Saccharomyces cerevisiae S288C: one gene and its partners. The protein of the gene in region 1 purifies or fractionates together with the protein of each later gene. This does not show direct contact. Each region holds a gene or a part of one and is shown in the gene's direction. Other genes may lie near its edges. The genes, in order: SIP3, SIT1, CRH1 and ENB1.

The links.
Region 2: the proteins of SIP3 (region 1) and SIT1 purify together in Saccharomyces cerevisiae (affinity purification with mass spectrometry, with the first as the bait; one large-scale study listed by BioGRID). This does not show direct contact.
Region 3: the proteins of SIP3 (region 1) and CRH1 purify together in Saccharomyces cerevisiae (affinity purification with mass spectrometry, with the first as the bait; one large-scale study listed by BioGRID). This does not show direct contact.
Region 4: the proteins of SIP3 (region 1) and ENB1 purify together in Saccharomyces cerevisiae (affinity purification with mass spectrometry, with the first as the bait; one large-scale study listed by BioGRID). This does not show direct contact.

Annotation. Positions count from the first base shown.
Region 1 is NC_001146.8:160,131-167,275, reverse strand, and holds SIP3 (Sip3p), read left to right. Parts: upstream 1-2,955; coding exon 2,956-6,645; downstream 6,646-7,145. Other genes in the region: trifunctional dihydropteroate synthetase/dihydrohydroxymethylpterin pyrophosphokinase/dihydroneopterin aldolase FOL1, read right to left, coding at 179-2,653; DSL1 (Dsl1p), read left to right, coding at 6,903-7,145. UniProt on the Saccharomyces cerevisiae protein: May be involved in sterol transfer between intracellular membranes.
Region 2 is NC_001137.3:25,416-30,836, forward strand, and holds SIT1 (siderophore transporter), read left to right. Parts: upstream 1-2,241; coding exon 2,242-4,128; downstream 4,129-5,421. Other genes in the region: YEL068C (uncharacterized protein), read right to left, coding at 231-563; YEL067C (uncharacterized protein), read right to left, coding at 774-1,361; HPA3 (D-amino-acid N-acetyltransferase), read left to right, coding at 1,306-1,791; AVT2 (Avt2p), read right to left, coding at 4,382-5,421. UniProt on the Saccharomyces cerevisiae protein: Involved in the transport of siderophore ferrioxamine B and so has a role in iron homeostasis.
Region 3 is NC_001139.9:875,506-880,208, reverse strand, and holds CRH1 (transglycosylase), read left to right. Parts: upstream 1-2,016; coding exon 2,017-3,540; downstream 3,541-4,703. UniProt on the Saccharomyces cerevisiae protein: Dual chitinase/transglycosylase that plays a role in cell wall architecture. Chitinase and transglycosylase activities are coupled. Required for the polysaccharide cross-linking at the septa and the cell wall.
Region 4 is NC_001147.6:18,640-23,872, reverse strand, and holds ENB1 (Enb1p), read left to right. Parts: upstream 1-2,561; coding exon 2,562-4,382; downstream 4,383-5,233. Other genes in the region: oligo-1,6-glucosidase IMA2, read left to right, coding at 1-1,348.

The DNA of each region.
Region 1 (7,145 bases):
CATAGAGGGGAAAAAAGAAGCACAAGTAAACTGAATATTTAAGTTTATTTTCTATATCTTTTCTATACTTCATTTCACTTGTTTCCTCCCTTGGTTATTTTTAACGATTCTTTATTATGAAACAGGAAAAAAAATTATTACAAAACAGAATTACATATTTAATCTATATAACTAACCTTTATTCCAAACCTTTATAAATAGCATCTGCTAATTTAATGCTCTTCGAACAATTTTTAACGTCATGGACCCTAACCATGTCGCTGCCGAAACCAATACACGACGCTACCACCGCTCCAGTAGCAAAGTCTCTTTGCTTCGCATCCACATCTTTTGTGATATGTCCAATGAATTTTTTGCGCGATGGACCCAATAAAACGGGCATATTTCTGAGGTTAACATACACTTGCGAATTGTTTGAGTTCATGGTGAATGAGTAGTTCTTTAAAATGGGGATATGTCTAATAATTTGTAAGTTTTGCTTCCAGGTCTTAGCAAAACCAAGTCCAGGGTCGATTAGAATTTGCCAGCGCTTTACTCCATTATCAATCGCTTTGATATACCTTTCGCCAATTTCTTGACCAACATTCCTGATTAACACTGTTTTGTCTTTCAAGTCGTCTAGCTGCTGAATGTCGGTATTATGAACAAATTCTTGCTGAATAGAATCACCCAATGCAAAATTTTCGTAATGCGCCAGCCTATTCATCGTTGAAATATCACCACGTGTGTGTGATAAAATATAACAAATTTCTGGGTTCTCTGCAATTACGGCAAACATGTTGCTGTCAAATAAACCTCCCGAAATATCATTAATAATATCCACTCCAACTTTAATCGCTTCTTTAGCGACATTGGAACGATAAGTATCAATGGATAGTATGACTTTATCTTGCGGTAACTCAGTGCTTTCTCTAATGGCCTTAATTAATGGGATAGACCTGCGTATTTCTTCTTCCTCAGACGCCTGAATAGAGTTAGGCCTGGTAGAACACCCTCCAACGTCGATGATGACGCTCTCATGCAAATATAATGCGTCTTTACACAATTTAATGATATCATTCAATTGACTTTCAATGTCCGCAAAATGCTCACCTCCATCGGAAAATGAATCTGGTGTAGCGTTGAAGATAGCCATGATATATGTAGGTGAAACAGTAATTCTGTTTGTTTCTCCAGTAAATTCGTCAAGTTTTGTAGCGGTCTTGAATTTCAAAAATCTAGGCTCCACACCACTACGATAAGGCAATGGAACTAATTTCCATAAGGTATCTTCATCATGCTGTTTGTCGTATAACTGTTTTAAATGGTCTACAATGGGTTCCGCTGTCACAGGATGAAGGTGAACGGGGGATATTAATTCACATAACGGCTCAAGAACGAAAGTCCTCTCCAGCATTCTAGGATGCGGTATATTCAAATCCGGTTCATTTACTATAATATCTTCTCCGGCGCTATTCAAAAACATAACAATATCCAGATCTATTGTTCTCGGACCATTATCAAAATGCTTGACTCTTTGCAACTCTTCATATTCAATTTTTTTACACAATTTTAATAATTCGCTTGGGGTCAGTAATGTCTCCACCTCAACACACCCATTCATGAAAGGGGTTTGATCTTTGAAATACATTGGTTCACTTTCAAAAATAGACGAAATATTCCGTAATTTAACCGTTTTTTCCCTTGATAATAATTGCAACGCCATTTGAATGTGTTTGAAACGGTCCCCAATGTTTGAACCAAACGCTAAAAACGCTCTTTTCCATGTATTTTTACCCTCAATAGGAGTGTTTTGTGATGAAGACAATTGGAACTTAATATCAGACGATTCATGTATGGAGGAAAGATATGGAATATTTACCATCGCAATCTCCCTGGGCTCTCTAATACAGCTTACACCAACACCTTCTGTGGCTGTGATTGCGTTTAATTTCAAAACCTTCACCACCAAAGGCGAATCTGGAAACTTTTGAAAATACTCGTTATGGGCAATAACAGCTGACACAGATTCTACAAGAGCTTCCACAGTCTTGAAATTTGATTCCTCCACAAACTTGACAACGTTATCAATTATGCTTTGCACTGGCGGTGGCAATTCGGCTTTCTTTGGCCAAGGCAACTTTATATCCAAAGTTACATACTGTTTCTTAAGTCTCTCAAAGGTGAAAACACCAATCAAAGTCAACATTTTTAACTCAGATATCCTAACAACGTCAAATTCCTGTGATTCTGGATTCCCTCTTTCTTGTTGAATAATACAAGATATGTGGTCACTTCTAATATGCGTTGTATCCGCCTGCACTTCTAAATTCAGACACTCGACACCAGAATATTTGTCCATAACAAATTGAGACACAGATTTAGCCAAATTAGAAACAGAACCCCAATTCTTTTTTTTGCTGACGAAATTCGTCAAATCACGAGAAATAACTGCATAATTTAGAGAATATTTCAAATCATCCGTAGCCGCAGATTTACTAAAATCTGTACCCATATCTAAGCTTAGTAGACATTTCTGAGGCATTAATTGATTCCAGGAATCAGGCCCAAGAACTGTATTCATCTCTAGTTTCTTAATGTGCACATAATCTCTCATGCCGCCTAGTGGTACACTATGTCTTGCAGAATTGACAGTAGAAAATAGCTTTGACATAGCCAAAGGCAAAGATTGAAACTTGTTAATCAAAGAAGACGCTATCACTTTTACTAATTTTGCATTTACTAAAGGAAAAAACCTTGTTCTTCTGTTTTCGATGACCTTGCAATTTATCATAAGTTTTTCAAATTTTCCTTTTATTATGAATTTGCGCAACGACACCAGCGCTATTGCTAATGCGTTCAAAACAGGGAAAGTACACGTGAAATTTTAAACTACTAGGTGTAACTAAAACATAGCTGCATGAGTAGACCTGTTGATCAATTGACATATTGCAGAGATATATCATTACTTGAAATATGTCCGTTCACGGGAGGGATCCCAAAAAGAGGCAGTTAAGGCTAATATCGGTTGCATTCAAAGAAGCATCAATTGACTCTCCTTCCTTTCGTGCATCCGTAAATTTCTTCCAAACAAGGGTGGATGCATTAGAGGATTGGATAGAGAAGACTGTCGACTTTTTCGATCAGAAATATAAGGTGTCATTTGAAGATTTTCGAAGAGCAAAGGAAACTCTCCTATCCCAATTGTTACCTCCTCCAGCCTTGCTGAGCAACGGTTTTGTCAGTAACCAATCGTTTACTCCCAGGCTGATTGATAGTTTTAACAAGGACTATTATGACTTTTCTATGAAATTACTGCAAATTGTAAAGGGTGATGACTCTAGCCACTCAACCGCGCTATTAGAACTTATGACTACTGCAATTGAACCCTACAGAAACGTGAGAAAAAATTTCGATTTTTACCAAGGTAAATATGACAGTATGCTGGCATCCTACCAGGCTATAAGAATTTCAAAAACCAGTTTAGAGCCATCTTCTATCAAAAGTGATGCCTTACAATTATTTGAAGTGCAAAAAAACTACCTTAAGGCCTCCCTAGACCTCATAAGTGCCATATCAGCAGTAAAATTAAGCTTAGATAAATTCATACTAGAGTCAATGAAAGTATTAAAGTCAAGAAGCATTTTTATAACGAAAGATTCTGGAAGGAAAATAGATTTATCTCCTTGCATTAATGAGTATTTAGACAATTACGCAATATGGGTAGAAAATTCCATCGAAGGATCGAAAGTATTGGATTCTGATATCAGTAATGCAAAAAAGCAAGCATATAGGTATACCTTGAAACGAATTACGCCGTCAAGTGACACAAGTGATTACAATATAAGATCAATACATTCCTCGAAGCTGCTATCAAAGGATACGCAAGTGCCTCCAAAATCGCCCGAAAAGTCTGGGTGGCTTTATATGAAAACACAGGTTGGAAAGCCTACCAGGGAAATATGGGTGAGAAGATGGTGCTTTCTGAAAAATGCAGTTTTTGGTATGTTCCTTTTGTCGCCATCGAAGACCTACGTGGAGGAAACTGATAAGTTTGGTGTCTTCCTTACTAATGTGCGCTATGACCCAGAGGAAGATCGAAAATTTTGTTTTGAAGTAAAAATATTTGGTAATAAAGTAACAGAGGCACATGATAACATGTCAAAGGATATCACGTTGGTCTTTCAAACTTCAAATTATCTAGATTTGAAATCATGGTTAATAGCTTTTGAAGCGACAAAAAAGTATGTCATGAGTATACAACATGATAGTCTTGAATATGAGCTGGCGTTTAAAAGATTTTCTCCCAAGTTTTTTGAATTTGCCTCTAGTACAACCACCTCCATAGATCAATTAATCACAACATTTGACAAAGAAACCGAGTCCTTGTATGAAACGCTGAACTGCTCAATCTCTGAATATGATATTTTGACTTTAGGAGAGGAGAAGGTGTTTCAGTTCCAAATGCCAACAACACCAATATCTACAAAAATGACACAACTGGCTATTCTGTCTAATTTCCTCACAAAAGGTAGCTGGTTCCCTAATGCTGTTCTTGCGAATATATGGGGCACGACCGATTGGAGTGAATATACTATATTGCCAGGAAAGGGAAAGAAACCCTCCTCTTTATTAACGATCGATGGCAAAAGGCTTCCAATAAGAAACTCCACTATATATCCTCAATATTATTCTAATGAGTTGAAAGTGCTTGATCTACAGTTCAAGTCATTAGTATTTTCTCCGGACCAAAGGTTGGAGAAGCTACCGGAAGAGCTTTTACTTTTCAAGTTTGAAGCATTGTGGTGTCCTAACAAAAAGCAGAAGTTCTCAGCTACCTGCTTTTGCACAAAAGACTACATTTATTGCTACATGAATTCTATGGAATTTATCTGTCTTACAAAGATCAGCTTGTCTGAAATCGTTTCTGTAGAAGCCGACAGATCATCAAAGAAGACCTTAAAACTTTACGATGCCAGCGGTCTACAAATGAAAGCAATCGTTTTATTTTCTGACTATAAGCTTATTGCATCTAAGTTGCAATATCTGTTAGAAAACAAGGCTATAAAAAACCCAAATAGTAACGAAGAGATTTTAGTAAAGTTTGAACAGATGGAAAAAGAATCTCAAGAAAAAAAACAAGAAGAATTATATAAGATAGAACAAGAAAACTCCTTTGATCGTAAGGCCACCAGCGTATCCAAAATCATCAAATCACGTGTGACATTTTGGGAGATGTCCGATGATGCATCTACTTTATTAAACAGACTCAAAAAACTTCAGACAGAGTACTCGATTACTTACAATCATGAATATGAAATATCTAGTAAAGGACTAGCCCACATACTATTTGGAGATAAATCGAATGCTTTTCCAAAATGCCTGTTTTTAGCAAGAAAAGATGGGGAAGAACACGGGAAACGTTTTTGGTATAAAAACAAAGACATCAACGGGAAATCACAATTAGTTCGAAAGATACCATTTCGATTGGATATGACCGGTAATTTTTTAAATACTGGTAAATATCATAGAGATAAGGAATCTAAAATGATTTTTGCTACACAGAGGATAGTCAAAATTGTTGATAACAAATATTATGAAGTCGATTTAGATCCTTTTTTCGTTAAAGTGCCATTTTGTCATTTATTGAAGCTTTCAATTAAATTTGTCATAACTGAGTCATATGATGTAGATAACCATCTTGAAATAAAGTTGAATATGACGGCGAGCAGTTCATCGCTTCATGTCCTATACAAACTAGAATATATTGATAGTAGAACTGGCAAAACAATAGAAAAGCTATCTTTGGCTGAAATAATATGCCAAACATGGGCCTTGAAATTTGCTCATAGTGAATTCCTACTGATAAGAAGGGTGTTACGGTACTACTTGGAAAAGATTGGCAAACACGGAAAAGTTATCAAAGCTATCAAACTATGTGGTATATTAGGTGTTCTCAGCAACAAAAGTGAAGAACCTGCTACTGAAAAAAATGGCAACTCCAAAGAGAGTGAAAGTATGCAATATGACATCAGGTATTCTTGTACTATCCTTTTCCTAGTGTTTATCAAACTAATGGTTTACAGAGTAACGAATTTGACGTTTGTATTCTTCAGAATACTTATCGGTATTCTATTATTATGTGCTGAAAAGTTCTCACGGATTAATCGAATGATGGTGGTCGGATTATTAGCATCTATTATGATAAACATACTTTTATCAGAAAAAGCATCAGTGCCCTACTGGTCAATAAAGAGAGCTGAAAAACTGTTCCACGACCGTCTTGGATCAGATAAGTTCACAATGCAAAGAGCCATTTACATAAGTGATTCGGACTTGCTAAGTAGTCAACTGTCAGTGCCGTCAAATAACCCCATTTTTGAGAAGTTCAGCGAGGACAATTTCAATAAGGACTATCAGTATAGCGAAACGAGAAAACAGTTGGCTATGAGGAGAAATGAATTGCTAATTGAACTTAGAATACTCCAAGACATGGAGAAACAATTAGTGCATGACGACTACGAAAAATTCTTGCTGGAAGAAGTAAATAAATGCTCGATGGTGTCTATAGAGATGACTGATCTTTGGTTTAATGACACTCAATTGCAAAATTACTGTTCTATTTGTAACGAAGAACTCGAGAAGTTAAGACCACCAATAACTTGAGCGAATATAACTATTATATAATTATCAAAGTCATTATTTGTTTATGATTATAGTGCTCATTAACCATTGAACGTTATTATTGACCTCATGAAAGATACTTCTCTTTCGTCAATAGCGATATACAATTAGGCGACATGTTGAACTAAGAGATGTTTCATAACATGGTTCATAGTCTTAAAGGATTACGTTAAATTTGTCAGTAAAAAAGTGGTTTGATTCGCATAACTTTTACAAATCACGAAGTCTCTCGATTGGATATGGAGTCTCTTTTTCCTAACAAAGGTGAAATAATACGCGAGTTACTGAAGGATCCTTTAATATTAAAAAATGACAGCAAAAGGTCCAATGGCAGTGAGTTAGAACTTGATTCTAGTGACCTACTACAACGCGAGGCAATTCTAGCCAACGAACTGAACATCCTAGATAATTTGAAGACGTTTTTAAATCTCATAAAAGAAGTTAAAACTAATTTGAACATACTAGAACTAGAAAACTGCTAC
Region 2 (5,421 bases), on another chromosome or scaffold:
TTGATCTAATTAAAATTATATAGTTATTCAAATTGGAAGTAAATAAATAAGGACTGCCGGCCCATTTTTCTTTTTTTTCTCTTAACTGACCTGATATTTTTGAAACACTTAACGCCGTTTTCTTCAATTAAATCAGAAGTGCAATTAGTGGTGCTATGTTAACATATGTTTGAGAGCCTACTAAATGTTAGAGTGGACAGTTCTTGCTTACAATGATTAAGAATTGATGGCTAGTAATGTGGGCGGTCGCATCTCGCTTGTCTAAGGATGGAGTTCCTAAATTCTTCACGATCGGGAACAGGTCCTTTGTCCCAACTTGCCAGTTTATCGTCAACGAGTTTATCAATCTCGTCGTAGTGGATAGTAATCCATGGATGATCTTCATTACCGCAAGTAGTCCAATTCACTGGTGGTAGTTTTACGCTCCAAAATCTCTTATCATAATCCGCTATGCGGTAAAATGTCGATGTATTATGCGTAAAATTGTTATAATTGTCTGTTGTATCCGTACAGCATACCAATGCCAAGCCTTGAAAGGCGACGGCTAGTGCCAAAATTTTCATCCTTTCAGTATACCTGATTTTGGCTTTATCCTTTCAATGTGCCTGATTTTGGCTTTCTCGTATCTTTCGCCTGATAATATGAAAAAGTATATACTGTGAAAAAACAACCGTTGGAGAGCTACGACCGACTGAAAAGATAAAAATGCTTGAGTTTTTCAGGTTAGCATGCCGTCTAGTAGAATTAAACCATTGTAGTTCTTCACTTTTGTATTAAACGTAGGATTGAGGCGGTGGCTGCTTTTGGTTTACTATGCGTTGTAAGGGGATGGGGAAATGGAACGTCCAGAAGAAAGTTATAGTTCCCGTTTGCATAACAGCAGAGACAAAAATGGTCGAGCACTTCCGTGTTGACTGTATATCTGTGCATGGTTGACTAATTGTTGTTTGATGGCCTGAAGTTCTTGTCACACTCTGCAAATTATCCCGACATTCAGACGTACACGTACAAAACACGAATGCTACTCTAGCATATCCAATCGATCGCACTGAAGCGATCAGCTGATGATCAGGCGGTACATTGCATACTCTGCGTAAGGCCTTTTTCACCAATTGACCGCATCGTATATTTCCCAATCCGGTTATTAAATCGTTATCAGGCGGAAACCTTCGCGAACAGTATACTGGAGAGTGTTGCGACAAGATATTTAAAAGCGGAAAACGGGCATATAAAATAGATGAGTGCAGACTAATGAAAAAGACCCCAGACCCATCTCCACCTTTTGCAAGCACGAAGAACGTAGGCATGTCAAACGAAGAACCGGAAAAAATGGTTAACGATCGAATTGTGGTGAAGGCCATCGAGCCAAAAGATGAGGAAGCCTGGAACAAACTGTGGAAGGAGTATCAGGGTTTCCAAAAAACGGTTATGCCTCCGGAAGTAGCCACCACTACCTTCGCAAGGTTTATAGACCCTACGGTCAAACTATGGGGTGCTCTAGCCTTTGACACCGAGACCGGCGATGCAATTGGCTTTGCACACTACCTGAACCATTTGACGTCGTGGCATGTCGAAGAAGTTGTCTACATGAATGACTTATATGTCACTGAACGCGCAAGAGTCAAAGGCGTAGGTAGAAAGCTCATAGAATTTGTATACAGCCGTGCCGATGAGCTCGGTACGCCTGCAGTGTACTGGGTTACAGACCATTACAATCACCGCGCACAGTTGCTGTACACCAAAGTGGCTTACAAGACAGATAAGGTTCTTTACAAGAGAAACGGATACTGAAACCGCTGTGTAATGTAGACTACTGTGTATAGAGATAACTCTAGCTTCTATAGGCTCACTTGCGAAGCTTTTTTCCCACTTTTTCCCAGTGAAATAGTTTCTTATTGGCTTTTCATAGTTTGTTCTCCGATTTAATCGCAAGCGCCGTACGGCGCAGGCACAGAATGACTTGCAGCTTAATCCAGGTGCATTTTAAGAAACTTATCTGCTGGGAAGACCCCGAAGTTCATCGTTTACAATGTGCCGTAAAGAACACATTTGAGGGTGCAATCTGGTTCGTCTTTTGCCATAATTAGTAGTGCTCATCCGTGATCCTTTAATTTACTTTTGTGATGCGATGATTTGCAGATACTATATAAGCAATGGACACCGTCCATCACCGATGAGGCTAGAACATCGTAGTGCTTTGTAAAAGAACTGTTAAAGACCCAGTACGAAAATTTTTCCATAATGGACCCTGGTATTGCTAATCATACCCTCCCCGAGGAATTTGAAGAGGTTGTCGTTCCCGAGATGCTGGAAAAGGAAGTAGGAGCCAAGGTCGATGTCAAGCCAACGCTAACCACATCTTCTCCAGCACCTTCTTACATTGAATTGATAGATCCAGGTGTGCATAACATCGAGATTTACGCAGAAATGTACAACCGCCCGATCTACCGTGTCGCATTATTCTTCTCACTTTTCCTCATTGCCTATGCTTACGGATTAGATGGTAATATCCGTTACACTTTCCAGGCGTACGCGACTTCGTCGTACTCCCAGCACTCGCTGCTATCGACCGTCAACTGTATTAAGACGGTTATTGCGGCTGTAGGCCAGATCTTCTTTGCCAGATTATCAGATATCTTCGGCAGATTTTCCATTATGATTGTCAGTATCATTTTTTATAGCATGGGGACCATCATTGAGTCGCAAGCGGTGAATATTACAAGATTTGCAGTTGGTGGTTGTTTTTACCAATTGGGTCTTACCGGTATTATTCTAATTTTGGAAGTTATTGCTTCTGACTTTTCCAACTTGAACTGGAGGTTGTTAGCCTTATTCATTCCAGCTTTACCATTTATCATCAACACCTGGATTAGCGGGAACGTAACAAGTGCCATAGATGCTAATTGGAAATGGGGTATTGGTATGTGGGCTTTTATACTGCCGCTAGCTTGTATTCCGCTTGGAATTTGTATGTTGCACATGAGGTATTTAGCAAGAAAGCATGCTAAAGATAGATTGAAGCCCGAGTTCGAAGCGCTAAACAAATTGAAGTGGAAGTCCTTTTGTATAGACATCGCATTTTGGAAATTGGATATCATTGGAATGTTATTAATTACTGTATTTTTCGGGTGTGTATTGGTTCCATTCACCTTAGCGGGTGGTTTGAAAGAGGAATGGAAAACTGCGCATATTATTGTCCCTGAAGTCATTGGTTGGGTTGTAGTGTTACCACTGTACATGCTATGGGAAATAAAGTACTCGAGACATCCATTGACACCTTGGGACTTGATTCAAGATAGAGGTATCTTTTTCGCTCTACTCATCGCATTCTTTATCAATTTTAACTGGTATATGCAAGGTGATTACATGTATACTGTACTAGTCGTTGCAGTTCATGAATCCATAAAGTCCGCTACAAGAATTACCTCCTTGTATTCATTTGTTTCTGTTATCGTTGGTACAATCCTCGGGTTCATACTGATTAAAGTTAGAAGGACTAAGCCTTTTATTATATTTGGCATTTCTTGTTGGATCGTCTCATTTGGTTTGCTGGTCCATTACCGTGGTGACTCCGGTGCTCATTCCGGTATCATTGGCTCTTTGTGTCTATTAGGTTTCGGTGCAGGTTCATTTACCTATGTGACTCAAGCTTCCATCCAAGCATCCGCTAAAACTCATGCAAGAATGGCGGTAGTAACCTCATTATACCTTGCCACTTATAATATTGGTTCTGCATTTGGTAGTTCTGTTAGCGGAGCTGTCTGGACTAATATCCTACCCAAAGAAATTTCAAAAAGAATTTCCGATCCAACCTTAGCTGCACAAGCGTACGGTTCTCCATTTACATTCATTACAACTTATACCTGGGGAACACCAGAAAGAATAGCTTTAGTCATGTCTTACCGCTATGTTCAAAAGATTTTATGTATCATAGGTTTGGTATTCTGCTTTCCTTTGTTAGGTTGCGCATTCATGTTGAGAAATCATAAACTAACAGATTCTATTGCTCTTGAAGGCAATGATCATTTGGAAAGTAAAAACACCTTTGAAATTGAGGAAAAGGAAGAAAGTTTTTTGAAAAATAAATTCTTTACGCACTTTACAAGCAGTAAAGATAGGAAAGATTAATATTATCTCACCCAAATAATTTCATACATGCACATATAGCTACTACATAGTCAAGAACATATCATAACATTTGGTATAACAGTCTTTATATCAGTCTTTGCATGGCTTTGCATCTGATGCTGGCTCTACCGACTTCTCGGCGATAAAATACCAAAAGAATTTGACGTATATACTATCCAAAGTGGATAAATATTTGAGTTCCAATGAGGTAACTAAACTAGTTTTTTAAAACCCAGCAGAAAGAAAAAATACCCTATATTTGGCAGTGCTGTCCATCAGAACCATTAACTGCATCAATAATAGTTTGGGTGCTGCTGATTATCATAATCATGAAACCAAAGCATATACAAAGATAGAAAGGAAGCCTTTCCTTCCAACTCTTCTTCTTACTAGTTAACAACAAATTTGTGTATGGCGGCAAAATGTAAGCCATAGTCGATGCCGTAGTGGCCCCAATCAGTTCAAATAATGCTCCTAAATTACATGTAGTTAATGATATACCCATGGTGATGAAGACTAGTGAAGAAGTTATAACGACGTGCTGTTTACCTGATAATTGAGTGTGTTCGTCATAATTTTTAATAAGGTTGCATTCATGTAACAAGTTACCGACAACATCTCTCAAAACAAAAATTTCCATGGGGAATGTGGTTAGCATGTTAAATCCGAAACAGAGTCTGGCTATGTTGATAGCAGTGTCTGTTCCTGGGAAACTGTTTAAAACATTGCCTTTTGTTTTTTCTTTGAAAACTGCAAATCCCGAATATCCCATTAGTGCACAGCATATTACTGAGATAATGATACTGATATGCGTTAACCTGGTAAATTTTGCCACACTTCTATTCCTCATGGAAAAGAAAATAAAACTAGTATTATGATGACAAACCAACGCAAAGGAAATGACAGAGAGACTTCTGAATATAGTAGCTTTCATGAAAAAATCAGATAACTTCAGAGAATGACCTTTCCAATCATAGGGCAGCATAGGTCCTCTAATTACCACTGTCAGTACAATTATAATCATACTTATAACGGCCAAGAAAGATGCCTTTGATAGTGCCTCTATGTTTCTCTTCATTGATAACGGAAAGGAAATGAAAGTAGTGACCATTACAATTATGACATTTCGCCTGAGCCAAAAATGTACATTACCATCGTTCTGGCTGAATATAGCTCTGAGTACGTGGGGTATCGTATCCCCAATAATTATGCAATAACCAATACATCCACCAAATGCAAATAACCCGTTTGTAAATAGAATCAGCAATTTCCCTTTTTTACCCATTACATGTT
Region 3 (4,703 bases), on another chromosome or scaffold:
ATAAGGCGGAATGCACCTACTTCAACTCCTTAGCAGCAAAATTAAATAATTTGCAATTTTTTTTTTCAAGCTTCGAAAAACGGCACTAGGAGCATTTGTCGTTTCTTTTTTCCGAGAGTAAGGTGACAATTTAATGGACTAGGAAAAACTCAAAACGATGAGATGACTCGGGAAAAAAATAGCAAAAAGAAGGAACATCGGTCAGAAAGGGAAATGACGATCCTTAGTGTTTCTTGAAATAAACGAATTTTGCGTACTTGTAACAAAATTACTTTTCATTACCCCTTACACTTGTGTAATGACAAATGTTTTTGTAAGGAATTATGTTCGCCCAGGAATAGATGACATAATCTTGATAACGTGAAACAGTTTAACGGGAGATTAACATGGTAGACATACGATGATGAAGATCTATTGTAAATTTCCAGGTTGAATACAAAACGGAACTAGTGTTCTTCCACAAACACGAATATCTTTTTATTTGCGAACAAGAATTGAGAAAAGAAAAAATACACGGTAAGATATATAGAAATAAGATGTACAGATCATTATACGCACCCTAAGGGACTAGTTTGTGTGAGTGAATGGCTGTGAAGTTTTATATTTATCTTTATCTAAAGAAGAATTTACCTGTTTTTTTCGGAAAACTAGTGCGCCAAGAGAGTAATTAGGTAGACCGGGTAGATTTTTCCGTAACCTTGGTGTCCCATTTTCTTAATGATAAGTATCGATCTGTGGAGAGGGGTAAAAAAACTTCTCCTCGAGGTTATGAGAACTCACAAAGGGAAATTGATATTTCTACACAGTAATATTATATATTCTTCTTTATACACTTCACCCATTATTCTATCACATTATGAATTCTTGTGTTTCAGCCCCATTAAATCTGATGACGGTTTTCCATTTTTGTGTCATATTTTTACATTGTGTATGATAACGTAGTAGCTTGTGAACGATAGGTAGTAATTAATTCTGTTGGTAATTAATTGTTGAACTGTAGTGTCAATCAAGAATAAATGCAGATCTTCTTATTCTATATAAGAGAAGTATAGAATACAGCCTTATTAGTAATATTAAACATGCTCATATGATTATCATGAAAGCATATTATGATTTCAATGTCATGACTTACATCCGTATATGTGCAAACACCAAGTTGATCATTTGAGCAATAGGTGTTTAACTTACTTTGCCCACAATGCCACTTAGTGTGTTATCATTCTCCATCGTGAAACATCAATGATGTGTGGCGTCCGATTACTTCATATGGTCACTAATGGATTAGTTATGAAGAAGTATGAGTAGCTATTTTAAGAGATTCTAATTCAAACATTATAGCAAACACAGAATTTCGGCAGACAAGTAAAATGTTATATCTTCGATATTTCAAGATGAAGCGGTGGCTCAATGGTAGAGCTTTCGACTCCAATTAAATCTTGGAAATTCCACGGAATAAGATTGCAATCGAAGGGTTGCAGGTTCAATTCCTGTCCGTTTCATTTTATTATTTAATTTTTTTTTTTTCGGAAAAAGAGGCTGGACAAATATCGCGAACCGCGTGAAGTGGCTTAGTTTTCCTTATTCGGTTGAATTGATGACGCGTTTTCCCAGCCCATCGATTTTTTTGGCGACTATTTCGATGGCGTTTTCCAGGAAAGTAAAAATAGATCTGAGCTATAATGCATTAGAACCTCTGAGGGCTTGCTTTTCGTGGTATGGGATACGAAAATGACATTATTAATTGCAAGGGCAGTTTCTTTTCGCTCGATCAAGAAGCAATGTTTCCGAATCGGGAATGTGATATAATTAGAGCGTATGGTTACTGGTTTCCCTCATGCAACAATGGATGTTATATAAATACTTGCTGGTTAGTAACATGAAAAAGAACAAAAGGTGAAACACTTTTGGAACTTTCAATAATTGCCTACTCCTCTCCATATTCTACATTTCTACTAAATAGCAAGAGAAAGGTTAAGATAATATAATATTCATAATAATTCAATACAGCAAAAAACCATGAAAGTGCTTGACCTACTAACGGTACTCAGTGCCTCTTCATTATTATCTACATTCGCGGCTGCCGAAAGTACTGCTACTGCAGACAGTACAACTGCAGCTTCTAGCACTGCTTCGTGTAACCCGTTAAAAACTACAGGTTGTACGCCGGATACAGCTTTGGCAACTAGTTTTAGCGAAGATTTCTCATCTTCATCCAAATGGTTTACCGACTTGAAGCACGCAGGTGAAATCAAGTACGGTTCAGACGGTTTGTCAATGACACTGGCGAAAAGATACGATAATCCAAGTTTGAAGTCTAACTTTTATATCATGTATGGTAAATTGGAAGTTATCTTAAAAGCTGCCAATGGTACCGGTATTGTTTCATCATTCTATTTACAAAGTGATGATTTGGATGAAATTGATATTGAATGGGTGGGTGGTGACAACACTCAGTTCCAATCTAACTTCTTTTCTAAAGGTGATACCACAACATACGACAGAGGCGAATTTCACGGTGTCGACACTCCTACCGACAAATTTCATAACTACACTTTAGATTGGGCGATGGACAAGACGACTTGGTACCTCGATGGAGAGTCTGTCAGAGTATTATCAAACACATCAAGTGAGGGTTACCCACAATCTCCTATGTACCTAATGATGGGTATCTGGGCCGGTGGTGACCCAGACAATGCTGCTGGTACCATTGAATGGGCTGGTGGTGAAACCAACTACAATGACGCTCCATTCACTATGTACATTGAAAAGGTCATTGTAACTGATTATTCTACCGGTAAAAAGTACACATATGGTGACCAATCTGGTTCTTGGGAATCTATTGAAGCTGACGGTGGTTCTATTTACGGCAGGTATGACCAAGCCCAAGAAGATTTCGCAGTTTTAGCCAACGGTGGTAGTATTTCCAGCAGCTCTACATCCTCTTCTACTGTATCTTCCTCGGCGTCTTCCACTGTATCTTCCTCGGTTTCTTCCACTGTGTCCTCCTCGGCTTCTTCCACTGTGTCTTCCTCGGTTTCTTCCACTGTATCTTCTTCGTCTTCTGTATCTTCCTCTTCATCCACATCTCCATCTTCTTCGACCGCTACTTCATCTAAAACACTTGCTTCCTCATCAGTCACCACATCTAGTTCCATTAGTTCATTCGAAAAGCAATCCTCCTCTTCATCCAAGAAAACAGTGGCTTCCTCTTCTACAAGTGAGTCCATTATTTCCTCCACTAAGACCCCAGCCACTGTTTCCTCTACCACTAGGTCTACAGTTGCCCCAACTACTCAACAATCTTCCGTATCATCGGACAGTCCTGTACAAGATAAGGGTGGTGTCGCAACATCAAGTAATGACGTGACCAGTTCTACTACCCAGATATCAAGCAAATACACATCTACAATCCAAAGTTCTTCCTCCGAAGCCAGCTCGACAAACTCTGTTCAAATTTCTAACGGTGCTGATTTAGCTCAGAGTTTACCAAGAGAGGGAAAACTTTTTTCCGTACTCGTAGCTTTACTAGCCTTGCTATAAGTGGAAAATTTCTTTTAGAACAATATTCGTAGATCACTAAGTAACATTTGAGACCGAAAAAAATAATAGCATAATAAAAATAAATACTAAATTTTAATACAACAGAAAGTCTTATACCTAAAGCATGATTTTTCCTTTTATTATTAAGGGTACGGTTCATACAAAGGAAATTTATGTCATCGTGTTTTAAAGAAAAAAAGAAAGCCCTGTAGGGGGCTCGAACCCCTAACCTTATGATTAAGAGTCATACGCGCTACCGATTGCGCCAACAAGGCTATTCTATTATTGGAAATCTGACCTCTCAGGTTTAATATGTAATTAAGAATCTATAGACTCGATTATCCACATTTCTTTCTTTTTTAGTCTTCTGAGATTTGGGTGAATAATTCTGAGAGATGGGTGAATTTCGAGATAATTGTTGGGATTCCATTGTTTGATAAAGGCTATAATATTAGGTATACAGAATATACTAGAAGTTCTCCTCGAGGATCTAGGAATCCTCAAAATGGAATCTATATTTCTACATACTAATATTACGATTATTCCTCATTCCGTTTTATATGTTTCATTATTACATTATCAATCCTCGCATTTCAGCTTCCTCTAACTTCAATGACCGCTTCTCATAACTTATGCCATCATCTAACACCGTATATGATAATATATTAGTAAAACGAATACTACTAAATAAAAGATAATTTAGAGTTTCATTCCAACAATAGATGATAGTTGTAGTCCTTATTCTAACAGTTTATAATTCTCGAAGAAAACTTCTATTACATTTATGCCACAGTTACCCTTTCTAATAGGAAACTAAGTTCCATAAATTGTCATCAAGTTCTAACGCTGCCAAGATAGAAAACCATCAAACGTTAAAATATAAAGTGCGGTTGGATAAAAACTAGAGACATCGACGCTGTACGAAGAAAATATCGAAAGCTATCTCAAGGAACATAAAAATCCAATTCTGTAACAATTATATGCTGAATAGGTAAATTACAAAATAGAATTGTTAGATTTCGTTCTTAGCGAAGACAATAATGATATATAACATATATCAAAACATTCTCCTTTTGAGGTATTGAAAACATGCAAGTAGAAAGGCAATTGAACGTTTTATGTAATGGTTTCTTATCTTGATTTTATACGTCACCTCTCATTAA
Region 4 (5,233 bases), on another chromosome or scaffold:
GGGTTATGACGCCGAAGGCAAGCCAATTCCTCCAAACAATTGGAGGTCTTACTTCGGTGGTTCTGCATGGACGTTCGATGAAAAGACACAAGAGTTTTACTTGCGTTTGTTTTGCTCCACCCAACCTGATTTGAATTGGGAGAATGAGGACTGTAGAAAGGCAATCTACGAAAGTGCCGTTGGATACTGGTTAGACCATGGTGTAGACGGCTTTAGAATTGATGTGGGAAGCTTGTACTCCAAGGTTGCTGGTCTACCAGACGCTCCTGTGATTGACGAAAACTCAAAGTGGCAACCCAGTGATCCTTTCACAATGAACGGACCACGTATCCATGAGTTTCATCAAGAAATGAACAAGTTCATCAGAAACAGAGTGAAGGATGGCAGAGAAATTATGACAGTTGGTGAAATGCAACATGCTACTGATGAAACCAAGAGGTTGTATACAAGTGCATCAAGACACGAACTTAGTGAGTTATTCAACTTTTCCCACACTGATGTCGGGACTTCGCCCAAGTTCCGTCAAAATTTGATCCCATATGAACTAAAGGATTGGAAGGTTGCCCTTGCTGAACTTTTCAGATACGTTAACGGAACTGATTGTTGGTCAACAATTTATCTGGAAAATCACGACCAACCTCGTTCAATTACCAGATTTGGTGACGATTCTCCTAAGAACCGTGTTATTTCTGGTAAGTTGTTGTCTGTGTTGTTGGTGTCACTGAGCGGTACTCTATATGTGTACCAAGGACAGGAACTGGGTGAAATCAATTTCAAGAACTGGCCTATCGAAAAATACGAGGATGTCGAAGTTAGAAATAACTATGATGCGATCAAGGAAGAGCATGGAGAAAACTCGAAGGAGATGAAGAGGTTTTTGGAAGCAATTGCCCTTATTTCCAGAGACCATGCTAGAACACCTATGCAATGGTCTCGTGAGGAGCCAAATGCTGGTTTTTCTGGTCCTAATGCTAAACCATGGTTTTACTTGAACGAGTCTTTCAGGGAAGGAATTAACGCTGAAGACGAATCCAAGGATCCCAACTCGGTTTTGAACTTCTGGAAGGAGGCCTTGAGATTTAGAAAGGCACACAAGGATATTACTGTATATGGATATGATTTTGAGTTTATTGATTTGGACAATAAGAAACTGTTCAGCTTCACAAAGAAATACGACAACAAAACATTGTTTGCTGCTTTGAACTTCAGCTCTGATTCGATTGACTTCACGATTCCAAACAATAGCTCGTCGTTTAAGTTGGAATTCGGAAACTACCCAAGAAGCGAAGTTGATGCGTCTTCCAGAACATTGAAGCCATGGGAGGGCAGAATTTACATATCTGAATGATTGATGATTGTGACGACAAGATTTTTATACATATACATATACTTATTTTTATCTATGTTACATACCGCACTTTAAATAGTAACGACATATATCTGGTAGTGCGGTATGAGTTATGTAATACACTAAAGTATAGTTTTGTGTAGCATTTTCCATATGTCCTTGCATTGGTATTGTATTATAATAATGCTGAGAGAAGGGTTACTCTATAGCTCATTTGGCCAGATAATACGGCGAGTTATGTGCATATAAGAACAAGTACTAGTGAAATTATATATTATTGTTTATGATCAACAGAATCATCTCTACTACACACTGCATTATGAACTGCAGCCACATTTATCTAAGGGCGGAACGTACCTATGAAATGTCTCTACTACTTTTATGAAGATACTGATTTTTAGTTTGTCACAAATTTTACGATTCTGAAAACACATATACTTTCTTTTATGTTGATAGAGCAATAACACAATGGCCATTTAAAATCTAGCCAGCAAAATATATTCACCGGTTCGTACAATCTCATTTACTATTCCCTCTGAACGTCTTGACTTTGCTCCGCCAGCAAATTTTCCAATCCAACATGCAAGTCACGAAATGACGAATGAAGGCTGTATCAATCGTTCCTAACTGAGGATGGCTGAATAAAAATGAAGGGAAATTCTACGACAGTTTTAATTAGTTAATGAAGGGGTGTGAAAAAGTTAGAAAAAAAAAAAGTCAAATTCAGGAGAATAGACAAGCCTACATTTTCTGTAGTTCAAAACTTTTTATGGTTTGACTTTGTTTTTTTTTTTTTTCGTTTTTCTTTTTTAGTTGAACTAATGGGACCCTCAAACCTAAAATTTTCCGTTTTCGTTTAATCCTCGCATCATATATACCAAATAAGGACACAGGGTTTTCAGTGAGCAAATGTAAGGGTTTCTATGGATTATAAGCCCTTCGGATCAGAAACAGGGTTCCGTAGTTTGGGCAAGAATTGCCCTTAGTCCTGAGTCAACTGCAAAAATCTGTTTAAATTATTGCACCCAAATGTGATACAAATGTATACTATTATAGAGGCTGCCACGGCTTACAATTGCACCCCTCTGTGGCTTTTGAGTGGCGAAGGGTCTATGTTTGGATAATAGAGATGACTTATTTAATTGAAATGATGGTTTGGGTCCTAGCAGAACTCTAATATAGCAAAAAAGTGCTCGTGAATGTCTCTCTGAAAATGCTGGAAACTGATCACTCTAGGAATGACAATTTAGACGATAAAAGCACTGTCTGCTACAGCGAAAAGACAGATAGCAATGTTGAGAAGTCTACCACGTCTGGCTTGCGCCGTATAGACGCTGTCAACAAGGTCTTGTCTGACTACAGCTCTTTCACAGCTTTTGGAGTTACGTTTAGTTCACTCAAGACCGCCCTACTGGTGGCTCTGTTTTTGCAGGGTTACTGTACTGGACTCGGAGGGCAGATTTCGCAATCAATACAAACCTATGCCGCTAACAGTTTTGGAAAGCATTCTCAAGTAGGATCGATCAATACCGTCAAATCAATAGTAGCCTCTGTTGTCGCAGTGCCATACGCACGTATATCTGATCGGTTTGGACGTATAGAATGCTGGATTTTTGCGCTTGTGCTCTATACTATTGGAGAAATTATTTCTGCTGCTACTCCAACGTTTTCCGGACTTTTTGCAGGTATTGTTATACAACAGTTCGGTTATTCTGGATTTCGTCTTCTTGCTACAGCACTGACTGGTGATCTGTCTGGATTGAGAGATCGTACATTTGCGATGAACATATTTCTGATTCCCGTGATTATAAACACATGGGTAAGTGGAAATATTGTTAGCTCAGTTGCTGGTAATGTTGCACCATATAAATGGCGTTGGGGCTATGGAATTTTTTGCATCATTGTGCCCATCTCCACCCTAATATTGGTCCTTCCCTATGTGTATGCTCAGTACATTTCCTGGCGCAGCGGTAAGTTACCACCATTAAAATTGAAAGAAAAAGGACAGACCCTGCGTCAAACGCTCTGGAAATTTGCGGATGACATAAACTTAATTGGAGTCATTCTTTTCACTGCTTTCTTAGTTTTAGTATTATTACCTCTCACAATAGCTGGTGGAGCCACCTCCAAATGGAGAGAGGGTCACATTATTGCAATGATTGTGGTTGGTGGCTGCTTAGGTTTTATCTTTCTAATTTGGGAATTAAAATTTGCTAAGAATCCATTTATCCCACGAGTATATCTAGGTGATCCAACCATCTACGTTGCATTGCTAATGGAATTTGTATGGCGTCTAGGTTTGCAGATTGAGTTAGAGTATTTGGTCACCGTGTTAATGGTAGCATTCGGAGAATCAACATTAAGTGCGCAGCGGATAGCTCAGCTTTACAATTTTCTACAGTCATGCACTAATATTGTTGTCGGCATTATGCTGCATTTCTATCCTCATCCGAAAGTCTTTGTAGTCGCTGGGTCGCTTCTTGGTGTCATCGGAATGGGTCTTTTGTACAAATACAGGGTGGTATATGACGGGATTTCGGGTCTTATTGGCGCTGAGATTGTGGTCGGTATAGCTGGTGGTATGATACGTTTTCCTATGTGGACGCTAGTGCACGCTTCAACCACCCACAATGAGATGGCAACTGTCACTGGGTTACTAATGTCCGTTTATCAAATCGGAGACGCAGTAGGTGCTTCCATCGCTGGTGCTATATGGACTCAGCGTCTGGCAAAGGAGTTGATACAGCGACTCGGCTCTAGTTTAGGGATGGCAATCTACAAATCACCACTCAATTATCTAAAAAAATACCCTATTGGATCAGAGGTTCGTGTTCAGATGATAGAATCCTATTCGAAGATTCAACGCTTATTGATAATTGTGTCCATTTCGTTTGCGGCTTTCAATGCTGTTCTCTGTTTTTTCTTGCGTGGCTTTACTGTAAACAAGAAGCAAAGTCTTTCCGCAGAAGAACGAGAGAAAGAGAAGCTCAAAATCAAACAACAATCATGGCTCCGTCGTGTAATTGGATATTGAGCTGGAGAGTACTAGCGATACAAATATAGTGTTAAGCTCTTTCCTGAACTAGAATTCTCTTTGAAATAATCACTGTTAATGTAAGTAGTAATCAATAATGGCGTGTAACAGTATAATATTGTTGTCTGAAATAAAAAACAACAAAAAGTTCGAATTAGTTTTATTTTATTTTTCTTTTCTAACTAAGTGAATATCCATACGTTTGTTACGTTTATTTCAGCAATATTATAGTCTTAAATGGGCTTGACAATACAAAAATCAATGAGATTATTCGCACCTGTCATTTCCCGTAGTTTTTATAAAGAAATATAAAAAAAAATGTTGCGAAGAACTTTTACTAGAGCGTAAACGAATTAAAAAAAATTAGTAGTGTAAATATAATCACCACCTGCCGTAAGCCTGCTTGAGCCCTTTATTATTTAGTTTTAGCTGTTGCTAACCTGACTTTCATACTTCTTATAATTGACGTCATAAAAAATATTCAAAGTTCGAAAGAATGAAGAAAACATTGACCGACTTAAAAGAAGCAGTAACCCCACGAAATTTTAACCAGTGCTGATTGTGCGAGAAATCGACTCCAACAGTCTCAGATCAGAGAATATATGAAATATTAGTGGCCCCATACTTATAATGGTTCGCTGATTAATGTATAACAAGCGTGAAAGTATGTATAGCTGCACGGATTGTAGATAGAGCTCATTTAATATTAGGTATTTTGCCCATGTCATTTTTGTGCAAGTCATTTTCTCCTTTGGAACTAAATTTTCTTTAAAATATCTCATATACAAAAAATCCTAACTCACAAGTTAATGTTTTCCATCATAAGTAGACGTTTATTTAAAACATGTTAT